Linked DNA regions of Bombyx mori. The protein of the gene in region 3 interacts with the protein of the main gene of each other region in a biochemical or structural test. Links are inferred from orthologs where the notes say so. Each region holds a gene or a part of one and is shown on either strand. Other genes may lie near its edges.

Region 1 (4,532 bases), on a different chromosome or scaffold from region 3:
ATTTTATACACTCTGCTCTCATAGAGAAGTTGGGGGTGTCGGGCCTTTGTAGATTCAACTTTCACTGCCACCTCCTGCAAGAAAAATATTAACATGTATATCGCACAACAAATATAGCATATCCTTAAAGAAGTATTGTTACACAAAATTTATTTCATAAATGAATAACTCATTCACTATTAATTCACATTAAACACACACAATTTTTATTCCTTTAGATAATACATTTTGGATTCATAGGAATTTATGTTACGATAGATATTCCTTGAATAGAATTGTAATTTATGTCTGATGTTCTAAAGGTGCCTTCAGTATTGATCAGTCAACTTTTGAAGATAAATTTTCTAATGAAATATTTGTTTAACACATATTTATAAATTACTTCCACAAATTAAAGAATAATAATAAAACCTGTAAAAAAATTTTTTTGTGCAATTACTGGTGGTAGGGTGTCTTAAAACCCTGCAAGAGAAGTAAGCACTATCCCGCCTTTTTCACCATGATGTACCAATGACGGATCATTTATAGAGTGGTGCAGTCATCATACTGCAGAACTGAGACTTAAGAACTCAAGGTGGATGACGTTGTTGATGTCTATGTGCTCTGGTATTCATTTAACAACAGGTGGGCTGTGAACTGCTTTACAAATTTAAGCATAAGAAAAGCGGTATCTGCATAACGTCACACCTTGTTACGGTGGACTGAATCTCATTAGAAAAAAAAGTCATATGTATTAGTAGTACAATTGTCAATTTAAGTTATATAAACACAAATCATTAATAAGTGGGTATAGAAGTAGAGAGTAATGTGAGAAGGGGAAGTCTGGGGACCTGCTATACTGACCCCACAGAATGTGAGATGAAGAAGAAACAGAAATTGTTAGTATCTCTAGCCTCTAAGGATACTAAAATTTTCTGAAGCATCAGGATATCTGAACCTACACACATGCAGATCAAAAGATATACAGTTCGCTTAAAACACAGATCACTATCAATGATACACTGATATAGTGGTTACTATTTCACTACCTGCAAACAAAACAACCATACAACTGCTTATCATGGTTTCGAATTAGGAGAGTAAGACCATTACTATCCTAAAAGAATAAGGGCTTCAACCTCAGTATATGAAGTGAAATTATCATTGACCAGTTTGCCTAATAACTTGGGCAGATTAATTTGAGACATAGGGTACATCCCTCAATTGAAAACTATGCACCTACGAGCTTGCCTTGACAGGTAACTATAGTACTTTATATATACAAATATTATTTGTTCTGTTATGAAGGATAGACAATATTTAATTAACATTCCCTGAGCTTCATTGCCCCAAAAAAAGGTTAAAAGGTTTCTTCATATGGGTAACGAAATATAAACTTACAAGATGTGGAATACATTTATTTTAAACTAAATTGTTAGGTAAGCTTATAACAATCCATTTTCAGGATCCTTGAAATTGGGGTCAATGTCTCTATTGTTTTGAAGTGATACACATTCTATTAAATTATGTCCAATCATTATTCTTCGGCCCTTCCCTAGTCACCTGGGTCAGCGCAACATGTTTTCTCCTTCCATACTCCTCTATTATATACCATTTCTTCACTCACTCTTAAACACTCACTCTAAAAAAGTTAAAACTCTCTTAACAACCTCACCTAAATTATGTTCAATATATCCCTGAATTTAGCTTTGATTCATAGCTACATGAATAAGCTTAATCTTTTTAATTTTAATATCAAATGTTTCGTTCTTGATTTAGTTTTGAATTGAGTGTCAGTTAATGCAAATAAAACATTTTCTTCTCAATACCTTTGTATCATAACGTTACCATTGGCAACCATATACTTTTACAATGTTAATCCTATAATAAACAATCATAAGCAAAAAGAAAAGGACACTGTAAAGCAGCGGGAAACCTAAGAAAATGTGACTTTTTTCTGTAACTCTTACCATTTACTCTTTATTTGTAAATTGTGTTTTTTTATAAATATAAGATTAGAGAAATATAATTCTTATTAACAAATTTATAAATCTTTAAATGAAAAGAATTGAATGTGACTTAAACAATTTTGCAAACAAACAAATGCCTTTTTTTCTAGACTTCTTTATATAATATTTCTTACGAAATTTCCCATTAATATGACGAATTACATAACTTTATTGTGCAATTTTAGTTTCTTTTAATATATAATTAGCATTTTTTGTTTATCAATTTTAAATTTTAACAAAGAATGATTGGTTATTATTGATATATAATTCTGTATACGGTAATAGGTATAAACGCCTCGATGTATGTAGGTTGAATATATTTGGTAGAGGCATTGTTTCATTCGTAGTGTGGATGTGACCTACACAACACAGGAAATGAAATGTATCTTAATAAAACCAATTTCATACAACCTAGAGGTAAAGTATTAATGAAATAATGTCTATCTATATGGTTATAATTAATGAGAATATTCGAAATGTGCCATGAACTGATAAAACCATTTCTGGGTTTATTAGATACGTCATCGTAGACAAAACGCGCCTCACCCCCCCTCGCGGTGGGAACAACGCACCCGACCTTAATCCTTTAGATTAACATAAGATATTAATGATGAAAAGGATAGAAATCATAATTACCTCGCCAGTTCCGATGTTGATAGCCAAATATATATCACCGAACGATCCACCACCGATCTTTTTCGACACCTTGTATTTTCCAGAAATCAATACTTCCGAACGAGATCTCCACGGGAACGACATTTTTACGTATTTGATACAAAACAAATGCACAAAGTCAAAATTATGATAATGAAATCACAAATTACGCACAATCCGAATGGAAACAGAGGTAAAATTCTAAACTACATTTCACAAGACAGTGGCTGAATGGAGCACAAAACATGGAGGATGGAGTGCGTTCTGAAATCGTCTAACCTCCGTTTTTACACTTTAATAAAAATAGTGTGCGATTTAAAGACACAAAAAAGTTAAAATATAATTTATTTGTAGTCCATAACTATTGTGTGTAATTATAGACTTTTAATTTTAATATTCTTTGGGTTCTTGATTTATTTCCGTAAAAAAATAATCGTAACACAGCTCTCTCACGGAGTTTCAGAACGCGTAGTGTGCCCAGCGGTAAAAAATATTTTTGTGTAGCAAAAGTTGTACTTTTCGTATGTTAAATTTTTTGTCAAAATCTACTTTGGTTTTATTCTGAAGTTAATGATTTTTTTCAATCTTTAAATTATTTTTGCAATAATAACTCATTGTAAAAGGATTAATCAAATAGGTACTATATTTTTAGAATTTTATAATAATACTCTTACTTATTCTCTGTTGTACTAACATTATTGGTTCGGTATTATTGGTTTTTAAACATCAATGTTTAATTATGTATATCACGATCAGTAGACAATTACTAAGTTTACACTATTTCTTCCTTCAGTCATTAGCGAATAGATAAATATATCATGTTTCCTACGAAATCGGAATAGCTGATTTTCCTAAAATCTGATACTATTTGAGTTGATATCATAATAATGACTAATTTCTGATTGTGAGGTAGAAAAGTCGTACAATAGAATTTAAGACATCTAAGATTTAAGTTCTAGAATTTGAGACGATGTCTATGGTTTTCGTCATTTAACACTAGGTGGGCTATGAGCAAGCCCACCGAACGAGAGCAAAAGTGACGTGCCGCGCGTGACGTCAGAAAGGAGTTTGCAATATTGTAAAAGTTTGCGTTGCATTGCGAAAGTAGGTGACCTAGTGACCTTCATGTTTAGATGAGGAGGTACAGACAGTGTCGTACTGAAATCAATTATTACTCAAGAGGACAGAGGACTACAGCGAGGCAATAACGGAAATATATATTTAGTTCCGTAAATATCTCCGTACTCGTTTTTTATTCTTTTACTTTAGCGACAGCAACTTAGACCACATCTATTTAAATATTTATACCTAGTTATGATATTTTTGCACGCTCAAAAATAGATGTCTGTATCACTGGAACTAGATTTTAATATCGATCACCATTAAATCTTTTGCGTCAATCATGTTTTTTTTATTACTGTAAATAGGCATCGTGAACACCATTGATCACTTTGATAACGAAGACTCAATATAACACTATAACCGGCTAAGATATCTAACGCTCGCTGGGTGTGTTGATGGTCCCACAAGCATTTGCAAACCACATAAATAATAATATCACTGGGAAGCGTTTTTTTTTATTTTAACTGTGCTACTTTTTTTATTGTCCTTGTAGGCAGACGAGCATACGCATCACCTGATGATGAGTGGTTACCGTCGCCCATGGACTTCAGCAATGCCAGGGGCAGAGCCAAGCCGCTGCCTACCGTCATGTACTCTCCACAAGCCTCGTTTGAAGAAGGATTGTCATAGCGCTCGGGAAACACCGTGGAGGGGAGCTCATCCCAAAGCCGGATGGTACGTAGCAAAAAAGAACTCTGGAAACACTGTGGATGAACGCAGTGGCGCCAGGTAGTATGGATGAACTCTTCTCCGGCGGTGTGATGGTAA
Region 2 (3,735 bases), on a different chromosome or scaffold from region 3:
CTACCCGTGCGGACTCACAAGAGGTCCTACCACCCGTAATTACGCAAATTATAATTTTGCAGGTTTGATTTTTATTACACGGTGTTATTCCTTCACCGTGGAAGTCAATCGTGAACATTTGTTGAGTACACTATTTCATTAGAAAAATTGGTAGCCGCCTGAGATTCGAACACCGGTGCATCGTTCAACACGTATGCACCGGACGTCTTATCTTTTAGGCCACGACGACTTCGTAGGTCCAATTAGTTATATAATAGATATAAGAAACGTACCAATTTTCGTGGTGTAGTCGGTGGCGCCAAAGATGAGCTCCGGAGCGCGGTAATAACGCGAACATATGTAGGAAACGTTTGGTTCTCCGCGAACGAGGTGCTTCGCCGAGCCAAAGTCGCACAGCTTCAACACTCCAGTCTTGGGGTCAAGCAATAGGTTCTGCGGCTTGATATCTCGGTGACAGATGCCCAAAGAATGAATGTACGCCAGACTTCTGAACAGCTGGTACATGTACAGCTGCGAAAAATATTACTACATTACACAAACATATAAATGAGGACTAACCTAAAATGTATATATGTATTATTATAGACTATCATTAAAAAAAAAGAACTACTTGTTATTACTACATAGTATAAAACAAAGTCGCTTTTTCTGTCTCTATATCTGTCTGTCCCTATGTGAGTCGTCTATTATCAAAGGTGGCAATCTGTGCATTTGGACAAAAAAAATTTATTGATATGTCAATACAGATTGATTTGAATATAATCGTCTCCTTCAAAGAATACGGTTCAAAACCTGCATTAAATAAAGGTTAATAGTTAACCTGTTATTTATCTAAGATGTCGTTCCGAAGAGTTTTGTGACTGCCAAAGGAATACAAAGTCAATAATTCGTTTTTTTGGTTTACCAATCATTGTCCAAAAGTCAGATTGCCGACTTTGATAATAGTCGACTCATGTATGCTTAAATCTTTAAAACTACGCAACGGATTTTGATGCGGTTTTTTTAATAGATAGTGATTGAAGAGGAAGGTTTATATGTATAATAACAACCATTAAATAGTGGAGAAATCAATAACAAATTACAGTTTCCGAAGCGAAGCGAGGGCGGGTCGCTAGTTACAAAATGTAATGCAACCTCTCCCGTGAAGTAGTGAACACGCAATGACAAATAATTTAAAGACCCAAACATTGTACGTATACCCTTTACATTGAGTGTTCACTAAATCGTTTACTTGGGTTAGGGGGTAGTTCCCTTACATTGTCTACACTGTTTACACAGAGTAAAGTCTTCAAATAAATGCCAAATATAAAAGTTTTAGTCTCCGTGACCTAATGAACAAAAGAAGCCACGTATCAAACGATTAGACTTATGCAGAACCCGCAGGCAATTTTTTTCTTAAGTAATACGTACTTGAAGGGATGATGTCGTGTAATAGAAATTCACCGATAAAACATTCATAAATTTGCGTAATTACTAGTGCTAGGGCCTATAGTGAGCCCACACAGATAGGTACCACCATCCGCTCTATTCCCACTGCAAAGCAGTCAAGTGTTTGAAAGGTGAGATAGTTGTTATACAATAAAACTAAGACTTCGAAATCATGTCTCAAGGTGGATCACGACATTTACGGTGTGATGGATTCCGGTAACTCCTTAATACCAGATGGGCCGTAAGTTCTCTGACCGATCAATGCAATAAAAAGAGGGAAAAAACATTAATAACGTGGAAAAGTGAAACGATTCTCGTAACTGACTTTTGCGATCAGCGTGACGAGTAGTAGCCCACCCCAATAAGTATCATATTATAGTTTTTTTTCTTCCTAAGGACTAACGTGTAGGTTCACGGGGCTCAAACCGGAAGTGTTACTAACACTGACCTTAGCAGTGGTTTGCAGAATCTACCATCGGATCGGAAACGCGACCCACTGAGAAGATCCGGCGAGAAACTCAGTGGGCTGTGTCTATGGGTTAACTTACTCGCCGAGCCCTCTTCGCAAGAAACGGGTTCTTGACCGGTTCTTGAGATGCCTAAAAGCACCGTTAATGGATCTTGAAGATCCGTAATGAAGTGGCAAATTATAGTTAGTATTTTCTAAAAAATAAGTTCATTTGAAAAAATAGTTTAATTGTATTCTAACATATTGACCAATATAATATTATTCATTGAAGATCTATATGTATATATGGACTTACAAGGTGTTACAATAGCACGAATACTTTTTCAAATCGAGACACTGTATTTGGTCCTTCACACCTAATTGAAGAATTTACCATGCATACTTACCTTTATAAAACTAATGGGTATGGTTTGTTCGTCTTTGGAGTAATGACGCGCCACTTTGTACACGGTCTCGGGTATGTACTCCAGCACCAAATTCAGGTACACTTCGTCTTTCTGAAATCATTATTAGTTGTACCTATGTCAATGTTGCAAGATGATAGATAGCACTTTACCTATTACGATAACTTTTTATTCGAAATAATATATTTTAGATTGATTTTACTCAGATTGACTTTGTGGTTGACCACAAATTTGTTTTTAGCAATAAGTGATTTTGTTTATGAGAATCGATATAGCATGATTTCTTTTTGGTAAAACTTAATGTTAGATAATTAAATTTTAGATTAAAATTTTCATATTAAAAAGTGAAAAAACTAATGATTTCGTTTGGCTTTAATAAATACTGGGTCTTCTCTGGTTATTCTGCAAATAGTTATTACAAGTAATTTTATACCATTTACATTGATGGCCTTATTGAACTAGAGATGTTTTGACTTTTCTTTCAATGAATGATTTTAATGTGCCAATAATTATTACATAAATGGCCGTGTCGCTTTAAAAGCCCATGTCAAAAAGAATACAAGCAAACAGCGGTTAAATTCAGACAAGACTAATGATCAAAAAACATGATAAATGTCCCGACGTGTTCAATGGATTGTGATGTAAAAGCACTTAACTGGAAACTGACGATTCGTGATAGATTAAGATTGGTCTCAATTTATTATGCACAATGTTTTATTGGCGTTTGGAGGTTACCGGTCAATATTTTAAGGAGAAACGGCTTGTTAGTGAACAAATTAGTTTCGATGAATGAAGACTGAAATGGAATAGAAAATTGTTAGAGCAGTTGTTAGTCGTGATTATTTTATATCATTCACGTCGATAAGACAGGAAGCGCGTGATACGTCACATTTTCACTATTTAATGTGGCACAATTAAAACTGTTGTAACCTATTAATTTTGAAAATATTGGTCGGTAACCATGAATCGATTTGGCAGGCCTAAATTGTGCGATAGCACACTAGCGTAACAATTTTATTTATTCATAAACATACTGTGACATCAAGGGTCTGCATTGCGTTTAACAGAGAACTGACTGCTGCGGGCACTGCCGCCTTCCCCAAAATAAAACACAAAACATAATCCTTAGTTACGAAACGTTTCAGAACGAAATTTAACGTTCATTTAATCCTAGTTTCTCACAATACTTATACACAATAAAAGGGCTTATAAACAGATCTCGCTTCTAAATGTTATATTGACAAGCAAGCTGTCTAGAAATTATACTCTAGTAAGATACACAGTAAATAAGATGTTGTTGCTCAAAGGAATAGGCTTAAATAAGCGCGAATCTCCTTACAATAATAATAATTCTTCGATAAACATATCTCACCTTTTCGCCACTGGAATAAAAGAAATACTTCAGTTTCACAATGTTGCAATGCTCCAGCCGTC
Region 3 (4,075 bases):
ACCATCATGGCAGCTTGGGATACTACTACTTGATCTTCATCATTCAGTAGCTTTATCAACTCTGGAATAGCTCTGAAACAAATTTAAAATCAATAGGAATAGAACAAATGAATAATAATAGTGTAATGTTTTTTTTTTCATGCTTGTTGCCTGATGATCTGATAGAATATCTGGTGTTAGGCTATTATATTACATAATTATACCTGGTAGCTAAATCAGCATCATCTTGATAATTGATGAGGTTCACCACAGCATGCTTTAACATCTGGGAAGGTTCAGCTAAACGCTGGACAGCAGTTGGTTGAGCGGGATCCAGCTGTGTCGATGGAATTTCAATTCCTTCCTCCAGCGTTTCAGGAAACATAGCCGCACGGACTCTTTGAGATCTAGTTTGAGAAAGCTGTTGATTCATATCTGAAAGTAAAGCATATGATATTGAATACAACAATCCAAACAGCTTGTATTGTCATAAGAATTTTTGTGTAAAATTATTTCTATATTGTACATTCAAACGTTTCTAAATGAAATGGGGAAACAACTCACCATCAACTTGTTCTTGAGTGAATCCCTGAGCAAAACCCTGATCAAGGTCAAACATAAGTTGGTCACCTTCCATCTCATCATCTTCCTTGCCAGTTAGTGATGGAACCTGAAGAGAATCATACATTTAACTAAAATAAATTGATGTGACTATTCAAAAAGGTAGGAGTCATCTGATTATCACTCTCAGTCAAGTTACAAAGGTATGGTTATGTATTCTCATAAAAAATCTTTTGTACTTTTGGGAATAAAAAATATTTTTTAAATATCAAATAAAAGTTAGCAATTATCACTATAGCTGATCTTTTGTGCATTTTTATGATATTTTATATTACTTTTCGAGCTGTATACTAAGATTTTAGTTTCATCAGTGCTTAAACAACTATTAAGAAGTACACAAGGCTTGACGTGTACTCTAAAAACTAAAATGCAAGAATATCTTCACACTATAATGGATGGTGTTTTGCTCATATTTACTGTCCTTACTTAAAGAACACAGGCCAGATAAAATCAATGAAATACCATAACAGATTTCACTAATGAAAGTACTGCTCAGTTCAATTCAAAATCTATTTAATATGCAGAAGTAATTTTCAAACTGCTAGTTTGTATGGTTCAGTCACGACTAAATGAGACAGAAAATGTTTTTTCTTTTTCTTTAGATCATTCTACGTTTAACAGTTAAAAGTTCCATGATAAAATCAGCAAGGTTTAGAGCACACGTAGTTCAGGTATCTCATATTATGAAGTGTCATCATAATAAAAAATTTAATCAAACTTCATCATTATTTTGTATATTGAATGACTTATGTTGTTGTATTGATAAAGATAGATTTTCAGTTGTGTCCATCCCAAAATTATGTTAAATTAAGAAGACAAGCCGTATTTTATTTTAATCCAATTTTTATAATGAAATAGGACAATATTACTGCTGTATTTTATAATAGACAGTCTGATAACATTACCTGGGTAGCAGCTCCAGAGTTGATTCCAGAGTCCACTAAATAGGAGTTTTGCTGCCACATCAATGTCTGCTGCTCTTTGTTTGGTGCCATTGGCACATCAGAAGCAACATAGCTGCTGTGCGACACTGTAAAATAATGATGTTTTCTCGTTTTTTATTCACACAAAACAGAGAGATATATATATATTTCTGTAGGAATGTAAGGGGTAGTATGGGTTTAATTTCAAGCGAACATAAAGAGAATTAGTAAGTAGTTGCAGGAGCTAAACTTAAACTAAAATAAAGTGGTTACTTTATGCCATTAATGTGAACTCCACGTCTTTTGACAAGAGATTGAAGTTTCAATTATGTTGAATCCTAATCTTGTTATACCTGTATTTTCATTAATTGAAGAACCTTTTTGAGAGTTCTCAAATCATAACAAATTATATTTCAAATTTCCTTTTAATCTAATTTATTTGCAATTTGTTTAAAAATTGTTTTCAAATAAATGAACTGAGAATGTATGATTCAAAATGTAATTTTTTCCCTCAGTTTCAATTCCAATGTTTTCGTGTTTTAGGATTTCTTTTTCTTTTGCTACTTAGCAGAGAATGTACTGAGATACAGAAAAGTTAAAGTTCATTTATAAATTTATCGTTCAAGTAATGCCATATGCATGAGTCACGATAGACACAAACCGATTCATTCAATTGTATCGAAGTAAGTGGTTTGAACAGCGTTCAGTAAGTACTCAAGCTTTTTGAATGGCAATGATATGATAAATTTACATTTACAAAAGAATCAATATAAATTACTTACTTGTGCGACTTTGCGATGATGGAATTTGATAACTCATGATTTAGACGATGCGACGATGCACCCGTCCCCTGTTGTAAAAAATACCATAAAACATGTCTCCGCTTTGTACGTTATCGATCGATTCATAAGAATTAAAGCATGGTTCACATTAGAACTTAATCACATAAACATTTGCATTTATTTAATGCTTCCCACTAGGAAATACTTTTGGAACAGCGGAAAACAAAACAAATAAGTGCACCATGAACTAAATACCGAACACCACACCCGACCCCATAAAATAACTTGTACTGGTCGAGATATTAAGGTGACTAATATCATTATTTAATTAAAATTAATGCGAATAAAACTTACCTTGGCCGTGCAAGCCAAACAGATTAACTGTTTTCACGACTTTTAAATAATTTTTACAAATTAAATGCACAATATCCGACCCACCGTCACTCGATTCATACAACAACATGGCGGAGACTCGTCGAATTTCGTTTACTTTCAAATGCAGCTGACACTAGTATTGCTACTTCGTTCGCTCTAAGGTATTGCATATGCTTTTATCTCATTTTTTCTTCAAAGGCTCGGGGTGCCAACATAAAGTTCAGGGATAAATTGTAAACAATACGATTCGTGGCACGCAGATTTGTATTTTTTTAATGATGCCTAATTGATTTGTAACTTTTTTATACAGCAGATAATAATTTTACATAATTGTTACGTCATATTATTATATTAAATGACCTAGTTTTAAAAAACCTGATGTACCTGAGCCTTGACCACTGAGTCTACTCCCTGTCTGAAGGTACCTGAGGTCTTATTCCAGCTATGCCCGGACGGGTATGATTTTAAGGGATTGACATGAGTTAGACCACGTGACGTTTCGTTAGCATAGGTAATTATTATTTATTATGTCAATTCCTTAAAATTAAATATAATAAATACGGTACTTCTGTATTTACATATCTAATATTCACATTAACGCTAGTACATTCACAGATAATATATGTACTTAATATTTAAGAGCACACTTTGTCTAGATCCCTAGGTCTATATTGGTTACTAGCTAATATTTAAGTTTTTAGATTAAAGGCGGTTGATTTTATCAGGTATCTTTATCAACTTATGTGAAAATATTTCTAGGTACAAAATTATTTCGAAGCAACATAGTAGGCAGAATCCTGCTTCAAGATCAATGCACGAAATAATGTCATACAAGTTCCGTGGCCGTGAATGCGATGGCGATATTACTTTCAGATTTTTTGTTGGCATCAAAAGCAAAAAAATATCGTGGGTTCGATTCCCAGATCAGGTAAACATTAGTGTGATGAACAGATTTGTTTACTATTTGTTTGGATGTTGATATCCGTATAAATGAATGAAAGTATTGAGCCATTTTAAATGTTATAAACGTACTTTTAAAGGTATAGCTATGTATTTATTTATCTAGTTTGGGGCCAACTGAACATGTGTGATTTCTCCGAGCTAATTTTCTTTTTGTTATTTTGTAATCTTACAATTTGTACGAAAAATTTCGTCTTGACCAGCTGGGTAGTTAAAACATGAAAGCGCAACAAACCACCAATCCCACTTTCGCATTGAATAGTATTATTATGGATTGAAATTGCCAAGATCTTCTGCTTATCGGGACTTTTTTCAAAGTTCGTTTAAAAGAAGCACCTGTCAAATCGTAGACTCAAATGGATGATTTGTGCATATTTTTTATGGTATTTCAATAACACCGACCGTTGTGAAGCAAGAAAACCTCGAATAAATACG

The links.
Region 1: of the proteins of armadillo segment polarity protein (region 3) and CKIalpha, one has a biochemical effect on the other in vitro, tested with the Drosophila melanogaster proteins (2 studies listed by BioGRID). The link is inferred for Bombyx mori from reciprocal best matches to the Drosophila melanogaster genes arm and CkIalpha.
Region 2: of the proteins of armadillo segment polarity protein (region 3) and glycogen synthase kinase-3 beta, one has a biochemical effect on the other in vitro, tested with the Drosophila melanogaster proteins (2 studies listed by BioGRID). The link is inferred for Bombyx mori from reciprocal best matches to the Drosophila melanogaster genes arm and sgg.

Annotation. Positions count from the first base shown.
Region 1 is NC_085132.1:9,600,329-9,604,860, reverse strand, and holds the start of CKIalpha (casein kinase I alpha), read right to left. Parts: upstream 2,891-4,532; 5' UTR 2,748-2,890; coding exon 2,625-2,747; intron 75-2,624; coding exon 1-74. UniProt on the Drosophila melanogaster protein: Casein kinases are operationally defined by their preferential utilization of acidic proteins such as caseins as substrates. Can phosphorylate a large number of proteins. Negative regulator of wg signaling.
Region 2 is NC_085124.1:8,499,962-8,503,696, forward strand, and holds part of glycogen synthase kinase-3 beta, read right to left. Parts: coding exon 3,674-3,735; intron 3,396-3,673; coding exon 3,336-3,395; intron 2,395-3,335; coding exon 2,284-2,394; intron 511-2,283; coding exon 273-510; intron 1-272.
Region 3 is NC_085116.1:12,303,106-12,307,180, reverse strand, and holds the start of armadillo segment polarity protein, read right to left. Parts: upstream 2,801-4,075; 5' UTR 2,660-2,800; intron 2,613-2,659; exon of another isoform or gene 2,416-2,612; intron 2,374-2,415; 5' UTR 2,343-2,373; coding exon 2,306-2,342; intron 2,234-2,305; exon of another isoform or gene 2,066-2,233; intron 1,631-2,065; coding exon 1,506-1,630; intron 650-1,505; coding exon 544-649; intron 415-543; coding exon 204-414; intron 73-203; coding exon 1-72. Other genes in the region: uncharacterized protein LOC101744306, read left to right, coding at 4,001-4,075. UniProt on the Drosophila melanogaster protein: Isoform neural may associate with CadN and participate in the transmission of developmental information. Can associate with alpha-catenin.